4 linked regions of the Saccharomyces cerevisiae S288C genome follow. The gene in region 4 interacts genetically with the main gene of each other region. Each region holds a gene or a part of one and is shown on either strand. Other genes may lie near its edges.

Evidence for each region.
Region 1: mutations in USV1 (region 4) and UBP13 together harm fitness more than expected from each alone (negative genetic interaction), as found in Saccharomyces cerevisiae (one large-scale study listed by BioGRID).
Region 2: mutations in USV1 (region 4) and DCK1 together harm fitness less than expected from each alone (positive genetic interaction), as found in Saccharomyces cerevisiae (one large-scale study listed by BioGRID).
Region 3: mutations in USV1 (region 4) and STB4 together harm fitness more than expected from each alone (negative genetic interaction), as found in Saccharomyces cerevisiae (one large-scale study listed by BioGRID).

The regions. Positions count from the first base shown.
Region 1 is NC_001134.8:93,120-97,865, forward strand, and holds UBP13 (ubiquitin-specific protease UBP13), read right to left. Parts: upstream 2,764-4,746; coding exon 520-2,763; downstream 1-519. Other genes in the region: ribose phosphate diphosphokinase subunit PRS4, read left to right, coding at 1-275; SEF1 (Sef1p), read right to left, coding at 3,550-4,746.
Region 2 is NC_001144.5:963,877-971,898, forward strand, and holds DCK1 (guanine nucleotide exchange factor DCK1), read left to right. Parts: upstream 1-2,020; coding exon 2,021-7,819; downstream 7,820-8,022. Other genes in the region: URA4 (dihydroorotase), read left to right, coding at 1-1,003; proteasome regulatory particle lid subunit RPN13, read right to left, coding at 1,214-1,684. UniProt on the Saccharomyces cerevisiae protein: Forms a transiant heterodimeric complex with LMO1, that acts as a guanine nucleotide exchange factor exchange factor (GEF) for the small GTPase RHO5. DCK1, LMO1 and RHO5 relocate to mitochondria upon oxidative stress and trigger cell death.
Region 3 is NC_001145.3:310,284-315,508, forward strand, and holds STB4 (Stb4p), read left to right. Parts: upstream 1-1,872; coding exon 1,873-4,722; downstream 4,723-5,225. Other genes in the region: PEX9 (Pex9p), read left to right, coding at 1-1,469; FMS1 (polyamine oxidase), read left to right, coding at 5,094-5,225. UniProt on the Saccharomyces cerevisiae protein: Binds to SIN3.
Region 4 is NC_001148.4:113,749-117,011, forward strand, and holds USV1 (Usv1p), read left to right. Parts: upstream 1-1,563; coding exon 1,564-2,739; downstream 2,740-3,263. Other genes in the region: trifunctional fatty acid synthase subunit FAS2, read left to right, coding at 1-567. UniProt on the Saccharomyces cerevisiae protein: Transcription factor that participates in the transcriptional activation of glucose-repressed genes during exponential growth in non-fermentable carbon conditions. Also involved in salt-stress response.

The sequences.
Region 1 (4,746 bases), on a different chromosome or scaffold from region 4:
CTTGTGGTACGTTGGTAAAAGCTTGTGATACGTTGATGGAGCATGGTGCCAAAGAAGTTATAGCTATTGTTACACACGGTATTTTCTCCGGTTCAGCAAGAGAAAAGCTAAGAAATAGTAGATTGTCTAGAATTGTTTGCACAAATACCGTTCCGGTAGATTTGGATTTACCTATTGCTGACCAGATCGATATTAGTCCCACGTTCGCTGAAGCTATAAGAAGACTACACAATGGTGAATCCGTGTCATATTTGTTCACCCATGCTCCAGTATAGGACAATTTTTTATTCTTAGATTCCTGATTGCTTGCATGCCTAAATACTTCATAATTGTATTAGTTTAAAAGAAAACCTTTTACTGAGACAAAACTATAAATTTAAGAAAAAGGTTCCGGAGCCGGTTTAAAAAAAGAAGATTAAAGATATTATATTTATGTAAGAATTAAATTAATACTGTCAGAGAAAAAATAGTTTTAAAGGAGACGGTGAACCTTTACCTTCCTTGATATGCAAATATTTTTCAGCTTTTCCTAAAACTAAACATTCTCGACTTTTTTTTAGAAGACTTTATGGGTGTGTTAGAAACAAAGCTGTCGTCTATAGCAGTATCCAAATCGTCTGCTATAGGCAGCTCTTCCTTTTTCTTTTGACCACTATTGCAAGTTCTTAGCCAATCATCGTACTTGATTAGATTGTCTATATTATCATCTTGTTCTTTTGCCATATTTTCACGATCATTCTTTTCAACAGCGTTTGAATACATCGCTTTATAAAACAAAACATATGCTGTTGCCATATTTGGAGATTCACCTGTGAATTCTAACACTGTTTCCTCTTTAACTGCCTCTACCGTTTCGTCATCAAATAACAACCAGCCAAACTTTTCATGTTTACATAGGGAAACATAATGGCCGTGTTGTGGCCCACCGCCCATATGAACGACAATCCCAGCCAATTCATACTTTTGACAAACCTTAGAATTTATTGAAGAGCAAACATTTAGCGTCAGAGGATAGTGAATGTTATTAAAAAGCTTAATATTACAGTTTTGTTTCTCAGAATACTTGAATCTTTTCAAGTGTAATGTTAAAGTATCAGGCAATTGCTTCAAACCAACTAATCTCTCTGCCTCCTGTAAACCGCAACATTCGTCACAATAAAACTTGTTTGAGCCATTTAGCATTTCTCGCTGGTGATAACTTTTCAAAATTTCCTGTATATCTGTTTCCTCATCTCCCTGAACTTCTATGGGGAAATCCAAAAATGGCTCATCCCTAGATGTAATGTTATCGCACGTCAGACATTTTATTTGATTCGTTAAAGTGCCTTGAAACAAGTCACTGATGAAATTTTTACTCTTACTCGGTTCGCTATCGCTGTTGATATCACTGGCTGCTATTTTTTTATTCTCACGTTCTATATATTCACTCAACTCGTTTAATAAGAAATTGAAAAATTCGTGAGCATCCTGATGCATAGTAGTATTAAATAATACATTTTCTCTTTTGAGAACATCAACAAAAGAGCTAGGCGATACAACACCAGTTAAATACGTATTCTCAGTTATGCATTCAAAGATATCTCTCAAACTGGAATACAAAGTAGCCTTATCTGAGCCGTTTAAGCTATGGTCAATATTGAGCACTGGCCCACGAATAAGTGCGGATTTCTTTCTATGTTCTGGGGATATTTGAGAAGAGGAACTAGATCTTCTAGTATCTTTTTTATCAAGTGGAGTGGATAAGCTGCTATTACTTTCTCCTTTCAAGTCCAGGTTATTACTATTACTGCTACCTCTTGAAGGATTTTCATAATTGAGAACTCTGCCAACAATTATTTTACGCGGAACATCCGGAGGTCTATCTGTGACGTTCTCGAAACTCAATCTGCTCGGAGCACCAGGCTCATTAGGTGTTTCGACTATCAATGGAGGTGCGTCTTGAGGACGAGAAGAGGGTTTTCCAGTGGTTAATATAGCAGGACTTCCTTCCTTTTTATTATTGTCTTGTACATGTTTCGCGCTAAAACTTTTAAAAAATTTACTCTTCTTCTCTGAAGGCCCAGCTGTATTTGAATTTACAGAATTTACAGGGGTAGGCTTTCCATCATCAACAGATTGAGGTTTAGGGTTAGGCAAATGTCCATTGGTACCAGCAATGCTTTTCTCAAAACTTGCTTCGGTAAATATTCTTGGTTTCTTACCTCTCATTTCTTTCTTTCTTGGTTGATCAGATTCTCTTGATTTTTTTGGAAATTGCAATATATTTTCACGTAATGAGGACAGATTATAGAGACATTGAAGAACTGAGTTACAGTAACATGTATTGCCAAAATTTTCGTATCCAAAAACTTTGTTGGAGCCGTCTCCATAGGGCATTGAGTCGGACACCTTCATAGCTAATATGGGTGCCTCGGGCCCTTGCGTGATAATGCCTCCGTATGCGTTTATAGCCTTTGCGTTTGAAATATAAAATATCCCATCCTGGCTGTAATTACTGCCTTGATTGCACGTTTCAGAAGAATAGTCTAGTCCGGAAGAAATCTGCAAATTATTGTCTTCATTCAAAAAAGTTTCCTTGGTATCCAAATTAGAGACAAACAATGAGCTAGAGGGATTATCGGATGATTCGCTATAACAGAGTTCATCATTTATATCGTGGTTTACAGGCTTAAAGTCAACCTTTTCTACTTCTTCTGTAATGGTATCATTAACAGCCTTTTTCTTCTTCCCAGACTTACTTATAGTTAGCCATCTTCTGATCATGATTGCGCCCTTCTTGCGTGGGTTTAGTATGTTAATGAAAGTACTGGATCCTTACTAAAGCCGAATTTGGCCCCTTCAACAAATAAAGCTTGATGAGTTGAACAGTCAAAGGGTAAGATCTGGTATAGGCAATAATAATATTATCCAAATGGAAAAAAAAAAAATGAACAGGTGAAAAAAAATCAATTTGAAAACCAAAGAAAAACTCTATTGATTCCTTTGCTGTTGTCGACCTTCTTTCACACAATAGTTCAATTACGTTCTTTGGGTTCTTTATCTTTATAGTTATCTTGCCTCATCTCTATGTTCAACACTTTCGGATCGATGTATTTTTCAGCCTTCCGCTAAAATTGACGACCGTCTCCAAACGAATAGGGATAAAGAAGCAAGGACTGAGCGTTGGAGAAAAAAAAAAAGTTACCGGAATGGGAATAGATAGATACCTATAAGAAGCGTTATCGTTACTCATGAATTTTGGTAAATGCACACGGATAAATGCATGATATATAAAATATTAATAAGAATAAAATAAATAGGTAGTGAATAAATATTCTACTTTGGTGTGGTCATCATTTTACAAAGGAGGGAGGTCGTGATAACAAACTGATAAATAATCCTTAAGTTGATCCATTCTTGAATATTGTTACATTGGAAATAATCCGAAAAAGAATATGTATAAATAAAAGGACTCGAAGTCCTATGTAGCCGTCTTTGCAAATTTTCTTTAATAAATTAGCAGAAAACAAGGGTAATAATATTTCTTAGAATATTAGAAGAATATAGGCGTTAAAAACCTTGTTCCATGTTCATATCGAACCAACCAAAAAAGTCATCATTACTGGAGTTGCCTTCAATCCAGCCTGCACTTTGTTGCTGAAAAAAATCCGTTAGTTTGTTTCCAGGAGTCTTCACGTTGTTTTCATTATCGATGGTTTGGAAGTTAGAAGAAGTTACAGTGTTAGTGCCCGTAGAAAATCGTTGGTTCGTTTTGTTGCTATTGATATCATTACTTTTGGAAAACAAGCTCAGAGGTGGATATGCCGTGCTTTTAGAGGAGCCGGGGTCGGAAACGACGGAATGCAAATCTGTCATATTATTTGACTTCGAAGCAATCGGTGTACGTGAATGGGACATACTACTTTGTGATCTTCCAATCGCGTTGGCGTTGCTGAATTGATTATTATAATTCATGGTGACATTTTGTAAATTACTGTGCTCCCTTGGAATAGGGTGGTCTATTCCCAATGTAACATTATTAGATAAGTTGCCAACGGGGTGGTTCCTTAACCCTGGAACGGACGCAGGAAAATGATTAACGGGAGTGCTTACTGATCTTTTCATGGAGAGATCAGGAATTACACTAGGTCCGTTACTATAATAGTCTACCTTAGTACTTTGTGGATTGTTATTCGAAGCGGGGACAGAAGCCACTGGATAAATTGAATTAGAGGGAATTGATATGTCATTAGACGCATCCAATAACGTCCTATTATTATTATAATCGTTACTATTCGAGGTATTAGCGAATAAACTTTGAAATTTTACGCTGCCTGTTTCCCCGAGCATGGAAAGAGGTATCCCGTTAATCTCCATTATAGAACCGTCAGAATCTCCGTTATTTGTCTTGGCTAGCTTTTCTGCCTGCTTTAAGGCATTCTTAGTAGGAACTAAAGTGGTAACAGTGGTTCCACTTGGTGTTGTTTTTGTTACAGTTTCAAAGTCATCTCTGGAGATATGGTTATATAGTGGCAATGGATATAGTTTTCTGTCCGTTATGCCACCCGTAGACGAAGTGCCATTGTAGATACCATTTGAGGAAAATTTTCTTTTCTTAGCGGCTTTCTCTAAGGCTTGCTTGTTATATTCGGGATCCATTTCCCTTCTTCTCGCCTCGTGAACACACCAAACCAAATCATAGAATAGAGACCCTGTTAAATGTGATCTCATCCTAGAAATAATACCGTCTTCTTCCACAAAAACTTC
Region 2 (8,022 bases), on a different chromosome or scaffold from region 4:
AGATGGTGGGGTTTCAATTGCTTACATCATGCCAAATTTACAACCTCCAATTACCACACTAGATAGAGTGATTGAATACAAAAAGACACTGCAGAAACTAGCTCCTAAAACTACCTTCTTAATGAGTTTTTATCTTTCAAAAGACTTAACTCCAGATTTAATTCATGAAGCTGCCCAACAACATGCCATTCGTGGAGTAAAGTGTTATCCAGCGGGAGTAACAACAAATTCGGCTGCTGGGGTGGATCCAAATGACTTCAGCGCATTTTACCCAATTTTCAAGGCTATGCAAGAAGAGAACCTGGTATTAAATTTGCATGGGGAAAAACCTTCTGTCCATGATGGAGACAAAGAACCTATTCATGTATTGAATGCAGAGGAAGCCTTTTTGCCAGCCTTGAAAAAATTGCATAATGATTTCCCAAACCTGAAAATAATTCTGGAACACTGCACTAGCGAGTCGGCAATAAAGACAATCGAGGATATAAATAAGAACGTGAAGAAAGCCACTGACGTAAAGGTTGCTGCCACATTAACGGCTCATCACTTATTTTTAACAATTGATGATTGGGCCGGAAATCCGGTAAATTTTTGCAAACCTGTTGCGAAACTTCCAAATGACAAAAAGGCTCTAGTCAAAGCTGCTGTATCAGGGAAACCATATTTTTTCTTTGGATCTGATTCAGCACCTCATCCTGTACAAAATAAGGCCAATTACGAGGGTGTTTGCGCAGGAGTTTACTCACAATCTTTTGCGATCCCTTATATCGCCCAAGTTTTTGAAGAGCAAAATGCCTTGGAGAACTTAAAGGGCTTTGTTTCCGACTTCGGAATTTCCTTTTATGAGGTTAAAGATAGCGAAGTGGCTTCTTCAGATAAGGCAATATTATTCAAAAAAGAACAAGTTATCCCTCAGGTTATCAGCGATGGCAAAGACATAAGCATCATCCCATTTAAAGCAGGTGATAAACTAAGTTGGTCGGTGAGATGGGAACCTCGTTAATATGCAACAATATGTAGGCTCATTTGAGAGTATAGACCATATATACATATTTATGGGAAAAATAAACTTACCTTCCAATAGAAGTTATAGATGCCATCATCATGCCTATTGTTATGGTCCGTATCTCTTTACAGAAGTTCACAGCCAAATGCGTTGATATGGTATATTTTTTCTCTTCAGTTTTTTATCAAAAAATGCCACAACCTTGATTTAATCTTGCATACTAACATCCACATCTTGAGCTTTTTGCTTTTCGTCATTGCTTTCTTCCTCATCACTTTCACTACTATTATTCAGCACTCCAATCATCTTATTGTAAATTTCTTTATCTTTCGCACTCAATTCATTTAAGGGCAAATTACCTGAGTTCTTCTCTTGCAGCCAAAAGAAGTACCTTTCGTTGGATGAAAAAACTAAAGCAAATATTCTGCCACTTTTACTGGATTTTATTGGAACCCACATGGTCTCTCCAGGAATTAAAATCAAAGAAATAGGATCAAGTTCCCTCCCGACCGGCTTTTCCGTTGGACGCCACTCGAAATCCCAAAATCCCAATTCTTCCTCTTCATTTGGTTTGATCTCGATTTCACCCTGAACTGGAATTGGCGTACATAGACGTGAATCTTCGTTGTATTCACAAACACCAGCCCTGAATTTAATTACAGTTGAACTCATACTCATCAACACTCTTTTAAAATTTATAAGTCAACCAGCACTTAGGTAGTTTTCTGGCACCCTTATAGAACCTAATCTACTGGTCATAGTAGAGTATTTAGTAGCAAAGCTTTCGCCACCTCGCGAATAATATATCACGAAATACGGAGGAATTTTAACTGAAATATATCAATAACGCATATCAAGGAGGGGATGACTTGATGAGTTGAAAATAATATAAATGGTTCAAGCAACCGTTTGTACACCACTCAGTCAATTATTGCTTCAATTGAAATTATAGAGGACCGAAGATTAGTCATATAAAACAGGGGTCTTTTTTTCTTTAGGGAGATTACTATTACAATGTCGCAACAGGATTCACAGCGCTGGCTGCCCACGGATCGGCTAATATATGGTGTGCTAGTCAAATCTTTCCTTCCCTTACAAAGGTATCCTGAGCTGGTATATGAAAACAGCAATTATGCGAACGTTTATGTGGGTGCAGAAGTTTACGTCTTCGAAGAATCTGTGGATAAGAAATGGTGTAGAGCGTACCAATGTTTACGACCCTTTCCTGAAGAATTCATATCGAATATGAACTCGGCGAATGATGTACTGCCAGACGTGAAACCGAAAGTAGTGATATTTCCTAGAAAATATGTTCATTTTGAAGCAGAAAAAGCCGTCAGCACAATGCCATTTTTCAAAGCACCTAGTGCTGAGGATTTTAAACCATTGATAAGTAAAGAATGTGAGTCCCGCTCCTTTTGTGACAGCCTATATGTTAGCTCTACTGATGATATATCAACTGGTAAACCAAGAAAGACACCGAGACCTCCGTTCCCCTTTTTCAGATACCAAAAGAGGTCCTTTAAGGACGAAATGGGTCCTATATTATCTCTTATTTCCTCGCATGTTTACTCTATGTATTCAATTGGCGAGTTTTCTATATATAGGAAAATGATAAAACTTTATTATGATTTGGACACTATACGATTTAGATTGTCTATGAATTTAACCACAGAGGCTGAGAAAATAAATCTGATAAGAGCAGCAACATCCCTAAGAACTAAAATCGCAAAATTTTTGTCCTCCACATACAGGAAGAATAAACTAATTGCTAACTCTACTCCAAGAAACCCAGATCCTTATGGTTTCGAAGGAATTTTTGCCAGGGATATTGATACTGGCGAATTGCTCTCATACGAGATCGACAAATTAAGAACTTTAGTGTCATCGTCAATGCTTTGTGGTTTAACTAATAATTTTCCTACTGTACCTGTGGTAGAGTCCGATGATGAGTCCTCATCTAACGGACTATTCGGCACAGTTAGATCGAGCATTTTGGTTAACTTGAAAGATCTGGCATGGGATCCCTCTATATCAGATCCTAAATATCAAGATCTTTCTATTTGTGTATACTTGAGAACCAAAGACGAAGTTTTAACAGAGTCTTTTACCATGACGAAGTCGTCCAATATGGAATCAGCTCTAGATGAAATTCCTGCAATGTTATTCAAGAATATTTTGGAAACGATAGTCCATAAAAATAAAGTATACTTAGTAGTAGTGCTGAAGGAAACAATAGCAATTACAACAGAAACTGCTCCGGAAATTTCATCTTACAATATATCTACCGAAGAGTCAAGTTCACATTCCCCATTTTCTCCATTTAATTCATCGACTGAGAATAAGATTGACCACGTAAAAAAGGGCTTAGCTGCCGGAGTTATTAACATATCTCCGGTATTCAAGTTTTATAACGGCCTATCAGTTGCGAATAAAGCTCAGAGGTTTAACCTTTATCTTTATAGCTCCGATTCCTCGGATTCGCAAAACTTCAACTCTTCAAAGGATGCGGATTTAGGTTGGGGCGGGTTAATAAATAAGATAATAAAAGATTCTTCTGAAGGCGTTTCTGTGAACCCTAGGGCTGTTTCTTTATCGGTAACTGTAAAGGAAATTATAGGCAAACAAGAGGCGGAAAAAGTGCTCTCCACATCTTTAGTACCGATAAGATCTATTCCCACATACTTTTATGATACCATGTTTAGCCAAGCAGAAAGAATTTATCTGAACTTAGGTAGGGTGTCGCTTTATGGACTTCCTGCAGCTGATACAAATATAGAAAATGTTACCGTTCAAATATCCTGCAGGAATAAGGCCGTAAAATTTTGCAAAAATAAGCTCGAAGAGAGATCTGGGGACTGGAAGTTTGTTTCAGTTCGTCCAAATGAGAGCATAGGCGAATCGATTAGAATAGAAGGGGTAGAGAACATGAACGAAGACGAGACATTAAGAGTATTGGTATATTTGAATGGATTTTTGATGGCAAAATCAAATATACATATCAAGAAAAAGAACGAAATCATAGAATATAGAAAGGGTACCGTATTCCAAATAATGTCATCCAAATCAGTACCTCTAATTCATTTAGAGCTTGAAGCATCATATTTTGGTCGGAGATATAATATCAACCCTGCCATTACAAATTTCTTAGTTCTTCAAACCAAAAATGTTGAATTCGACCAGCAACTTAAAGAGCACTATTCAGTTACATTGAAGCAGCTGAATAACGTTTCTTTTAAAGATTTACTAAAGCATTTTGACACAATTTTAGCACACTATTTGTTACTTCTTGAATCGGTGAATGAAGCTACTGATAAAAAAGGCCCTTCTTCAAGTTTACCCAATATTGTATTCAGTGAATTCGTCAAGTTTTTAAATTTAATGTTAACACACCAAGAAAACTCTAGATATTGGTTTAATAGACTGTACAAAAAAGTCATGTCAAAGGAACTAGAATGTCCCAATGTTGCACCGATACTAATAAAACATATGACAACGATCTTTGATAGGAGTCATTCTTCTTGGACTAGAACAGGAACTGCAATCTGCCGAACCATCCTGTACATAATTGTGTTGGCAATCGGTTCGTCTCATTCTGATGAAATGCCTAATTTCAGTCATTTTTTCAGAAGCTTGCACAAATTTTTAATGCTTGCTGATGAGCCAATAATGGCGGATCAAATTTTGTTAATAGAAAGTATTCCCTCTATGCTGGAGACAATGACCAATCACTGTAAGGTGGAAGACTTAGTTCGTTTTGCGATCGGACTGTTTGAATGTTGCCAGGAAAAAGAAATGAATCAAAAAATGTACTCCAGGCCACTCTCAGTTCGAGAAGAAGAATATTTGAATACAAAGTTTAATTGCCTGTTGAAGTTAATTAACAAGAAGGTTTTGCAAAATTATTTAACCAATACGGAATCCGTAGATAAACTGAGGTTACAGTTTTTATCTAAAACCCTTGAGTGGTTACTTACGCCGTATACTCCAGGCGATGACAAATGTTTTCACGTAGAATCCTTACGCTTGGTTAATTCTGTTTTCATTACAATAATCGAAGATTACAAATTTGACATGCTACAAAGGAACTTGATAAGGTTACTACCATATTTGTGTAAGTCCTTCGTCCATTTAAGAAGGTACTGTAAGAAAGCACGTTTAATGAGGCCTCGAAGAGTTTTTACCATGCTTTTTCCCAGAGAAATTCCATGCAACTACATACCGGTTGATTCAATAGTGAATGATGAAGTAGTCGTAGAAGTTCTTCTAGAGCTTGCCATCATAATTTGTGAAATAACGAAAATTGCATCAAGCAGATTTCCATCATATCAATCTTTCAGCGAAATCATAAACTTGTGCGATAAAGACACTCTTTTTCAATCAAATTTTTATTCACGACAAATCACGAATGAAAATGTCTATACAATAACCAAAACAGTTTTTTTGTTTTTTAAACAAGATTGGTTCCCAGGAATGAAGTGGCTTGGCGTATCAGCGTTATTAGGAAGATCGTCTCTAATATTGCTTAGTTTATGCAAGGATTATATCATAGAAAATAATTCACCTTCTCCATCAAAGGAGTCTGAAAAGAGGGTTGACATGCGACTTTGGGCAGAATATGTAAAAGTCATACTACTAGTTTCAAACCATAAAAGTGCATCCTTGACTAAGTTAGCTATTACTCCACGTAAGGCCGTTTATTTGATATCGGGTGACCTGAAAAAAATTTCAGCATATATCCTAAATGAATGTTGGGATGCCCTAGCCACTGGGCACTATAATATCACTTATGCTAAAAAGTATGGATTAGGAGCCTTGAGTGATTGCCAATTTGAATTGTTTGTTCATAATCAATTTTTGATACGTGAGATCTTTATTTTTGCTTTCCATAGACATATCGATGCAACAAGAATTTGTTGCAAAATACTATGGGGATTAGGGCTAAATTTTTGGAGGATATTTGGGTCCCTACAACCAGCAGTGAACGCATGTATCCCAGAATTATTCAGCGCATACCAAATCGGGAAGCTTCGTTTGAATGATTACGAATTGGAAAGGTTTGTTTCTTGTTTGTTTTTTATGATGCACGTTCCCGATTCTGACACCTTTTTTCCTGCTTGTATGGATTTCTTAAGAGATTTACTTGGTTTTTTGCATATTGTAAATGAAATCTACAAAATACCTAATCAAGAAGAATTTGATGATGATCGGACTGCTCGGCACATAGAGATGTTCGAGTACTTGCTAGAAGCAAACAGGCCAGAGTTGTTTCATAAAATGATATATGATTTGTTTATCCACTTTATTCAGAAAAAAGACTTTGTTCAAGCAGCTTTGAGTCTAGAACTCTTGGCAGGTACGTACGCTTGGGATTCTAATGATACTCTTGAAGCAATATCTTTCCCGCCATTGCCAGAGCAATCTTCATTTGAGAGGAAGGAATATCTTCTTAAGGAATCCGCAAGAAACTTTTCGAGAGGCCAAAAACCAGAAAAAGCTTTAGCGGTATACAAGGACTTGATAAAAGCCTACGATGAGATCAATTATGATTTAAACGGGCTGGCCTTTGTACATGACCAAATAGCAGGCATTTATACCAGATTACAGTCCATTGATAGACTGGTTCCAACGTATTTTAAAGTTTCTTTCATGGGATTTGGTTTTCCAAAATCATTAAGAAATAAATCGTTCGTCTTTGAGGGTCTCCCATTTGAACACATTACGTCTATGCATGACAGGCTTCTACGAAGCTATCATGGGTCAAATATTGTACACTCACAAGAAGAAGTGGATATGTTATTGATGAATCCTCCAATGGGAAAATACATTCATGTAGCTTCCGTCGAACCGTGCTTAAGTATATCCGATAATTACAACAGTAGTGACAAGAAAAGCTCAATTAACAACAAAGTGCGGATGTACATTGAGAATAGAGATTTGAGGACTTTCAGTAATTCTCGACGTTTGCCAGGCGCAAAAGGAGTCACTGACCTGTGGGTGGAGGAATATACGTATCATACTATGAATACTTTTCCAACACTAATGAATAGATCAGAAATTGTAAAGGTTACGAAGAGCAAACTTTCTCCACTTGAAAATGCAATTCGTTCCTTACAAGTTAAAATACAGGAGTTATATGGGCTTGAAAACATGTGCAATAAAACTCTGAAGGACCACGGTGATGTGAACGATTTATTTACCGAGCTTTCTACAAATATTACGGGAACAATATCAGCTCCAGTTAATGGAGGCATATCACAGTACAAGGCCTTTTTAGAACCCTCCACATCCAAGCAGTTCAGTACTGATGATTTAGGAAGATTGACGCTAGCTTTTGATGAGCTTGTTGCAGTATTAGGTCGCTGTCTAACGTTGCATGCAGAACTACTACCATCAAAGGATCTAAAACCATCACATGATCTTCTAGTGCGTCTTTTTGAGGAAAATTTCGCTGAGGAGATAGAAAGATATAGTCGTACTCTCAGTGAGGCCAATCGTAGCAGGAATAACATGATTACTGCTCGAATAATTTCGCACAAGAACCCCAATAAAAAGGCAAGCTTTTCTGGAAGGGATCATCACACCTCAGGGTCCAATCATAGCCAATTTGTATTAGAACATAGCGACTCATTTGGCCCAAACAGTTTACTTTTTGGAAAATATTTAACAAGAACGTTATCCCACTCGTCCACTACGAGCAGTTTGGATAAAAGTGGAATTGTTTCCGGCACTTCGAGCACCTTTTTGGCAGGGTCACAGCCAAACACCAACACAGATTCACAGCACAAGCATGATTACTCACATTCGGGATAATATGTCAGAAGTTGTTCACTATAAAATATACGCATATGTAATCATTTATTTATTCATTCATGACTTTTAGTTGAAAAGGGCACATTTTTCTTTGTCGTAAAAGTGAAGAAGACAGCGAATTTTTTCCTTTCTCCTTCAAGTATTGCTTTTTTGATAAAGTATTTTTCGAAATATTGATACAATTATTGAATCTTTGTACCGTA
Region 3 (5,225 bases), on a different chromosome or scaffold from region 4:
ATAATCTGGGTAAATTCTCTGATTTTCAGACTAACGATAGCGCCGCGCGAGATGCTAGAACAATAGATTACATCTTTACCAATTGTCAAACCGGCAGCAGTATTGGTAAGATAGATTTTCGGGCCGCACTACCGGCAGATAAATCTCAACATAGTGGTGTCAGCGAAAAAGAATTTTCAAGACTTGAGAACCAGTGGTCAAAGGAATTCTCTTGTTTCCCCAAGAATAAAAATGCTGATGTGACCAAGCCCAGTAGAAACAAACATGAGAAACGCTCCGCTAATTTGCACAATAGGTACTTTGCACAATATTATAGTACGGCATATCAGCAAAATCGTATATATCCTTGTCGAATATCTTACAATGAACACTCATCTGTTTCTAATGGCTGGGAATTTCAGTTCAAATCAATCGAAAATCAGTTACTAAATGAGCTAAAGATAGAAAACAATGTAGAAGAAAAAACTGTTGGTTATGAATATGTGGCAGAATACGAAGAAACAATTGATTTCATGCATATGCTGTCATCCGTACCACAAACATATCAATTCCTAAAATCAAACATCTACATAACGGAACGGGACCCATATAAAATAGGATGTGTACTAATGGACAACGGTTCCAATTTGAACGAAGTAGTAATGGCCTTTGAAGCAGCCATTTCACAAGATCCAAGCCATATAAATGCATGGTTGAAGTTAGGTATAGTTAATTTTGAAAATGAAAGCGAAAGCAATGGAGAGCTTGCTTTGCGAAATTGCTTAAATTTGGATCCAAATAATACAATTGCATTGGAAAACTTAGCAATTCACCATATAAATCAACAAAATGAATCAGAGTCATTGAAACTTTTTCACAAATGGATTCTTTCAAAATTTTCGAAGGTTTTCCAACCTTCTGCGGGGGAAAACAAAGATAGCATTAATAAAATTCCGAAAAAGGCCCATTTGGCGCATATTCTAGAATCCCTGTTGAATATGGGTATAGAAAAAAAAGATCAGTATGATATATATTCAGTATTATCAATCTTATATTATTCGGATCAGAAAATAAAGCAATCTCAGAAATGCTTAGAGTTTTTACTACTGGAAAAGCCCAATAATGGAACAATATGGAATAGATATGGTGCTATTTTGGCCAATACTAAGTCGTATCACTCTGCGATAAATGCGTACAATAAATGCAAACAACTAAGACCGAATTTTACAAGGGTTCGTTATAATTTAGCGATCGCCTACATGAATAAGGGTGACTATGTAAAAGCAAGCAAAATGCTAATCGAAGTTATACTGTTACGAAGTAAAGGATATGAACACAACAAAGCAAAAATGCAAAACAAATTTATGCAAAATTTAAAAAATGCTCTCATCGCTTCAAAAAATTTTGATTCACTTGATCTAATAAATGGTTCTCATAATACAGAATCGTTAATATCAACCTTAAAAGCTATTTATAACAAAATGGATTAGGTTTTAGTTAATTTTTTTGCTATATAGTGCATTCAAAATAAAAAAAATTAAAGCTGAAACAAACCAAATATGCTATTGGACGTTCGAAAAGCTAATTGCGTAAAGGAACACTAAACACAGCAAGCTTATGCTAGTTCTTCTCAAAAATATAAGTTCCTCTTGCAAGAATATGAAGGTAATTTCACTTTATCGCGCAAGTGCATATTTCTGAGTTTACTATGTGCTTCGTCTGAAACCTCTCATTATCTACTTAATATCGGCTATTCATCTCACGTATTCACGTAATATTTGATTTTTGTACTACTATTTCTCTCTGTCATACGTGCATGATACATTTCCTTGTTCAAATTAAAAGAGTCACCGTCAGCCTCTCAAAACAAAGAAAAAAGATACCCGGCTGAACATGAGTATCAATCATGAAATATATTATATACTTGTATTTGAGCATCGTTCAGTAGCAATCAAGCTCATCATCGTAGTGATTGTTCTCCTTCAGTTTTTTTTAGCACGAAGTCGGCAAATTGATAGGACATGGGCCCATACTAATAGAAAGGAACGGTTCAGAGAAATGACAGCTATCGGGAATACTGATGATGCACTTGATACTAGTACAGCCGCAAGTAAAGAAAATGGAAAAGGTAGACTCAGGGTTCAAAAAGCTTGTGAACTTTGCAAGAAGAGAAAGGTTAAATGCGACGGTAACAATCCTTGTCTGAACTGCTCTAAACATCAAAAAGAATGCCGTTATGATTTCAAAGCTACAAACCGTAAAAGAAGAAGACGACAGGTCGCATCAGCTGTTCGGGACGTTAGTAAGACATATGCAGAAACCAGTGAGTCTTTTCCTAGGGACTTGTTAAGTAAATCAAATATTATCATAAATGCCCCCTCAGATGGTGTATCTTCGTCTGCTAGCAACTCTCCCAATCCAAATTCACATTATCATCATATATCATCCACTTTACCCTTCATGAGCGGTAGGCCAAACCATACATTCCATTCCGGAAGCAACTTAAATGGAGAAAATAACAATAACAGTTTTCCGGAGGATCACATGGCTAAATTACTTCTGCAATTGAGTTCAAAATTGGGGAATACGACCAAGGAATCGTCAATTAGAACAACTAGAACCAATGCTAGTGATGTGAATGCAAACCCGACAGTGGTCAACATGAAAAATAGTCAGGAAGACTGTGACACGAATCACAGGTCTGCAATATGTGACTCTGCAGAGGCTCTTCATAATAACAACATCAATTCTAAAGAGAATAAGATAATCAACTCTCAAATAACTAACACTGTTAATGATCACTTTGAATCACCCTGGCAGACATTTTCTTTAGATAAGTATAGGTTTCACCGACGCTACCAAAATATTCTGCCCTATTACCTTGGTGTATCTATTTTAAAGGATCTATCTCCGCAGACAATAGAGTACGCGAAGTTGAAAAGGCCAAGAGTTCAAAACTATGGTTGGAACTTGTCAGGAGGCCATTACTTAAAGTATAAGGGTGACTTTAGAAGCCAAGAAAAAAATATAAGGCATGAGTCTAAATTTTTCGACTTTGATGACCCTGTTCACTTATCCTTAATCAATAAGTTACTAAGGTATTATTTTGATGAGATCAATCCTGTTTTCAGTATCATTCACGAAGCGACATTTTGGCAGCAATATAACAATAAATTTCTACGGCAAGGTAAACAAAATAATTCATCTGCGAATCTATTCACTTCCATGCTTTATCTAATTTTGTCTACTACACTAAGATTCAGAGAAGGGCATCTAGATGGTCAGAAAGGGCAAGGAACCTACAGTAACACATCCTTAAATATCACATTCGAGGAAAAATCTATTTTGATCAAAAAACCCTCCATAGAGGAAAATTTATTCAAATACGCTTATTTAATAATCAACACGCTGACCTTTGAGTGGGAATCATTCGAACTAATACAATCGTGGCTTTTGATAACCTTCTATTTCAGAACCTGTTACAGACAGACGGCGTGCTGGAACGCGTTAAGTCAAGCGGTGAACATGTGTAATGGGATGAGTCTATATTTAAACAAATTTCCTGAGATCCATTCCACTTATGATGAATCAAAAGCATGGCATTGTTTCTGGTGTTGTTTTATAATGGATAAGTTGATAAGTTTTCAAATGGGTCGATTCTACCAACTATCATTACCCGCGAGCGAGATGTGCGAACAGATGAATCTAGTGAAGTCAAAGAAATTTTTACAAGAAGAAGATGATTGGTTTCACGAAGAGACTTTTCAAATGCTTGATTTGTCCATAATAGTGACACAGTTTTTAAAAAGAGACGCACAGGATTTAAATTTGAACGAGACCGTGCAATTGCGCAGCCAACTTGGTCAATGGTATGACACCTTTATAGTTGGAAGTCAAACCAATGCGTACGACGACAATTATCGTTACTTCTATCAAGTTCAACCATTCATGACATACCTGGATATAAGGCTGACTTTCGAAGTAAGACAATTATTTTGTCTAATCGCCCCCTCATCTACCGCAAATAATAAATCCCTAGAATATGTCGTCGATACTGAATTGTTAATTTCTCATTGTCAAATGGCTATTGAAAATTTGGCTGAAATTACGAGAAGTAATCTTTTCTTTGTTCCGTGGTGGTTAAACCTTTCTCAACTATTCACGGTAAATTTAATATGTATTATCTACCTGCACGCAGGGATTGCCGTAACTCAAAATAAAGCTATCATGCAAAGCTGCCAAGAAATATGGCGAACCTTAGAGTGCTCTAAGCCAAAAAATCGGCCTTCAATGCTTCCTGAGTGCTTGTGGTGTTTGAAAATGCTGAATCATATGTTCTGCATACGACTGAGAGATTCTGCTTTGCAATTGGAAGCTACTCTCGGAACTGATCATGGTGATGACACCCCTAATAGAAATAAGTTTGAGCAGTTCAAGAAAGTTGGCGATAATGATGCGGATGTTGAAGTTGATGCTGGTGAAAGAGAAGAAAATGCTGATGAAAGACAAGAAAATCCACATAACAATAGCAAAAGAGTACCATTAGCTACTAGGTCTCATAATACCACTAACTTCGACGGTTCAATCGCAATTTCTCCGGAAAGTGCAGTAGCAAATCTAGGTACTGATACTGGATTGCCCTCAGATGTTCTTGATACTGTCAGTAAAATAGGGAACTCTCCTAATGTGTTTGATGATGATTTATTTTCCAATTTATTATGGTTTGACCAAAATTTTGCATAAGGATTCTTTTTCTATTCCATAAAACCATTTTATGGACACGTTTACCTACATATTATTATATTGTATATAAGATGTTGAAAAAATTGAGTCAACCTCACCTTACCACATGTTGGTCCGTTGCTATGACAAACTCTCGTTTTACAAGAAGGAGGCTCAAATTTCGGGTCACCCACCCATATACGGATGTCACGCTATGAGATCTTTTAAACAATAGACAATTTTTGGTATCCTAAAGATATAAAAGAGGAGTTTTTTTAAACCATGGTAACTATTTTCAAATTTGCTCTGCTGCAGTTTTTTATTTCTGTTTTTCTTTTTTTGTTCCCAACAAGAAGTGAGTTAATAAAGGCAAAAACAGTGGTCGTGTGAGAATGAATACAGTTTCACCAGCCAAAAAAAAGGTTATTATAATTGGTGCCGGTATTGCTGGGCTTAAAGCTGCATCTACGCTACACCAAAACGGTATTCAAGATTGTCTTGTTCTTGAGGCCAGAGATCGGGTC
Region 4 (3,263 bases):
AGTAAAGAGCATGCTCCATACACTGATGAATTGGAAGAGGATGTTTACTTGGACCCATTAGCCCGTGTATCTAAGGATAAGAAATCAGGCTCCTTGACTTTCAACTCTAAAAACATCCAAAGCAAGGACAGTTACATCAATGCTAACACCATTGAAACTGCCAAGATGATTGAAAACATGACCAAGGAGAAAGTCTCTAACGGTGGCGTCGGTGTAGATGTTGAATTAATCACTAGCATCAACGTTGAAAATGATACTTTTATCGAGCGCAATTTCACCCCGCAAGAAATAGAGTACTGCAGCGCGCAGCCTAGTGTGCAAAGCTCTTTCGCTGGGACATGGTCCGCCAAAGAGGCTGTTTTCAAGTCCTTAGGCGTCAAGTCCTTAGGCGGTGGTGCTGCATTGAAAGACATCGAAATCGTACGCGTTAACAAAAACGCTCCAGCCGTTGAACTGCACGGTAACGCCAAAAAGGCTGCCGAAGAAGCTGGTGTTACCGATGTGAAGGTATCTATTTCTCACGATGACCTCCAAGCTGTCGCGGTCGCCGTTTCTACTAAGAAATAGAGAGAGCACTACGTAGTCCCTCTTTTAATATGTAACGTGTCGCTTCTATTTATCAGACATAATAGTAATTACTTTGTTATTTTTCTATCGTTTCCTTACTTTAGCCTCTGATTTCGATCTGGCCTAATCATTGTGTACGTCTATAATCATATGGCCCTGAGCGTACACACCGTTCAATTCTTCTATTTGGTCGGCCCACACAAATTCGCGCGGGGGCATATTGACGCGTGGAAGAATAGAAGTCCGCGTAGCAGCTCTGGGGTAATTAGGCTTTTACGATATCGGCTGGCCCAGCACCGGTTTTTATTCCTCCCGTGGTTGTTGTCTCTACCGTGAGGAGGGGAAAGGGTCAGGGACGGCCGGTAGTTATGTTGTCTCAACGATTACTGCCATCTATTGTTTACACCAATCGCGTGGGGCAAGGGGCTGGAAGGCTGTGGTGTACAGAATAGGGTCTAATACCCGATGCGCGACGCTCCTGCGACTGGTTGTGTGAGCCACCCCTTGATCGCCTCTGCCAAATACTCAGGGAAGAGAAAAATCGCGAAGGTGGACGAGTGCCCTTAAAGAACCAGCATCCTCGATCGCCGCTGCCGTTCGCCCTGGCTTAGCGGTGGGAAGCATCCTTTGGCTTTCGAATTCTCCGCCGTTGAGTCCCCCTAAGGGCCTTATTTATCCCCTCTATTTTTTTTTAGAAAATGTTTTCTTTTTCAAGATTTGTTTGCTCCTTCACGGCTTCCCCCTTAACCGTTCAACAGTCTTCCGTATATAACAATCTCAATCCACTCTTATTGCCTATAATTTTGATTAATTCTTATTCATCCCGGCAGATAAAGTTTCGTCTTGTTTTGAAAGAGACAGGAGTTCTTGGCTGCAGTATTTTGCAACAGCTTCATTAACCATGTATGTAAAGAAAAAATCTGGAGCGACTTACTGGCTTAGCTTTTTTTACTAACACATAAATAATACTGTGATAAGATAAGAAAAAAACACGAAATGGAAAATACCACGAATCGTAATACTGCAGGCGTTCTTACGAGCAGCAATGGTAACTTTGCCACCAATAGTGTAGCGGCATCAACTCCGAAGAGGTCCAAAAGTGCTCGAAGGAAAACGTTCAAATGCACCGGATATGACGGTTGTACGATGTCCTTCACTAGAGCGGAACATCTTGCACGTCATATAAGAAAGCACACTGGTGAAAAGCCGTTCCAGTGTCCTGCATGTTTGAAATTCTTCAGTAGAGTTGATAATTTGAAACAGCATCGGGAATCGGTCCATGCACATAAAAACCACCATTCTACCAGCTCGCACCAGCGTAAGCCTTCCTCTTCATCTTTATCCTCCTCTTCTTCTGCATCTTCTTCGTCTTCTGCTTCATCATCTACATCATATAGTGATCCTTACAGGAAAACTAATATTAATAGCGGGAACATGCCGATGATGGCAGAAAACGAAAAAGCGCCCCAAATAATACATTCTTCGCCGGAGTTCATTACTAGCACGAGAAGCATCCCACCCATCTCTCCAAGGTCCATTTATAATACCCAACGACAGCAACAACACCAACAACAACAGCATCAACAGGCTCCCTATTATTTTCCTTCCCATCCAATCACTGATAGTTACTACCAGTATCCTCTTCCCAGTAATAATAACACCATCAATTATTTACCATCAGTAGATGTGCAGTATCCTTTGAATGTGAGCCCCTCCTCAACGAGCCATCCGGCCTCTGAGGTAATCATATCGTCCTTTCCTCCGAGGTCCATGCCAAGTACTTCCTTCAAATATAAAGATTCTGCCGACTTTCAAGCACGGACAACTATGAACAAATACAATATTAGACCAAGCAATATCAATGTCAATACTAGTAATATCAATAACCATCTTGATTCATTCTCCCCGCCGTTTTCTCCGTCAACGACAGTTGCTGAAGCAAAACCAATTATTTTACCACAGTATCAGCAGGCATTTAGCCAACCACCAAATGGAAATAAAAACAATAATATGTCTTCCTCGAAGAATGGCGGCAAAGGGGGAGAAAATTTCAAGAATACTGATGATCGCAATGATAATAATAACAAAAAGAGGTCGGAAACTTTATCAGAGTCTGATATTTCGGTCAACACCAATAAGAAAAGGCTTAGTGTTGATTACATATTGACTTGATCGAGGCAATCTGATCTAAGTTTCAAATATTCCGTAGAGTATAAATATCTTACAACTAATATAATTCTTAATATGCGCAAACAAATTATGGTGCGCATCTTTTTTTATTTTTATGTTTTGTTCCATACTAAATGCAGTTTATAAAATTTTTCAAATGAGTCAAGCTATGTATAATCAGTGCTACAAAAATGATAAGATGCAATTGCAAGAAAAAATCCCTTGCATAAAGGGCTTTCTGACCTCTTGCGTTGATCAACGAGAAATAACCGCAAAACTTAATTTTAAACTCCCGCGTCTGCTTTACACAGCCCACAGTAGCATCAAAAACTACGATGTAACACTAACGGTGGATTGTGAATACGGAACGAACAATCCTGCATCTTGACTTCAAAACTTGATCATATACACCTATACCGCCATGGTTATCTCGCCCTTACGCTCACCCGGACCCCCGTTAATTGCAATAATAAGAAAAAGAAAAGAAAGAAGCTTTTTATCTCATTTCACTGACAAGATGACGCTTT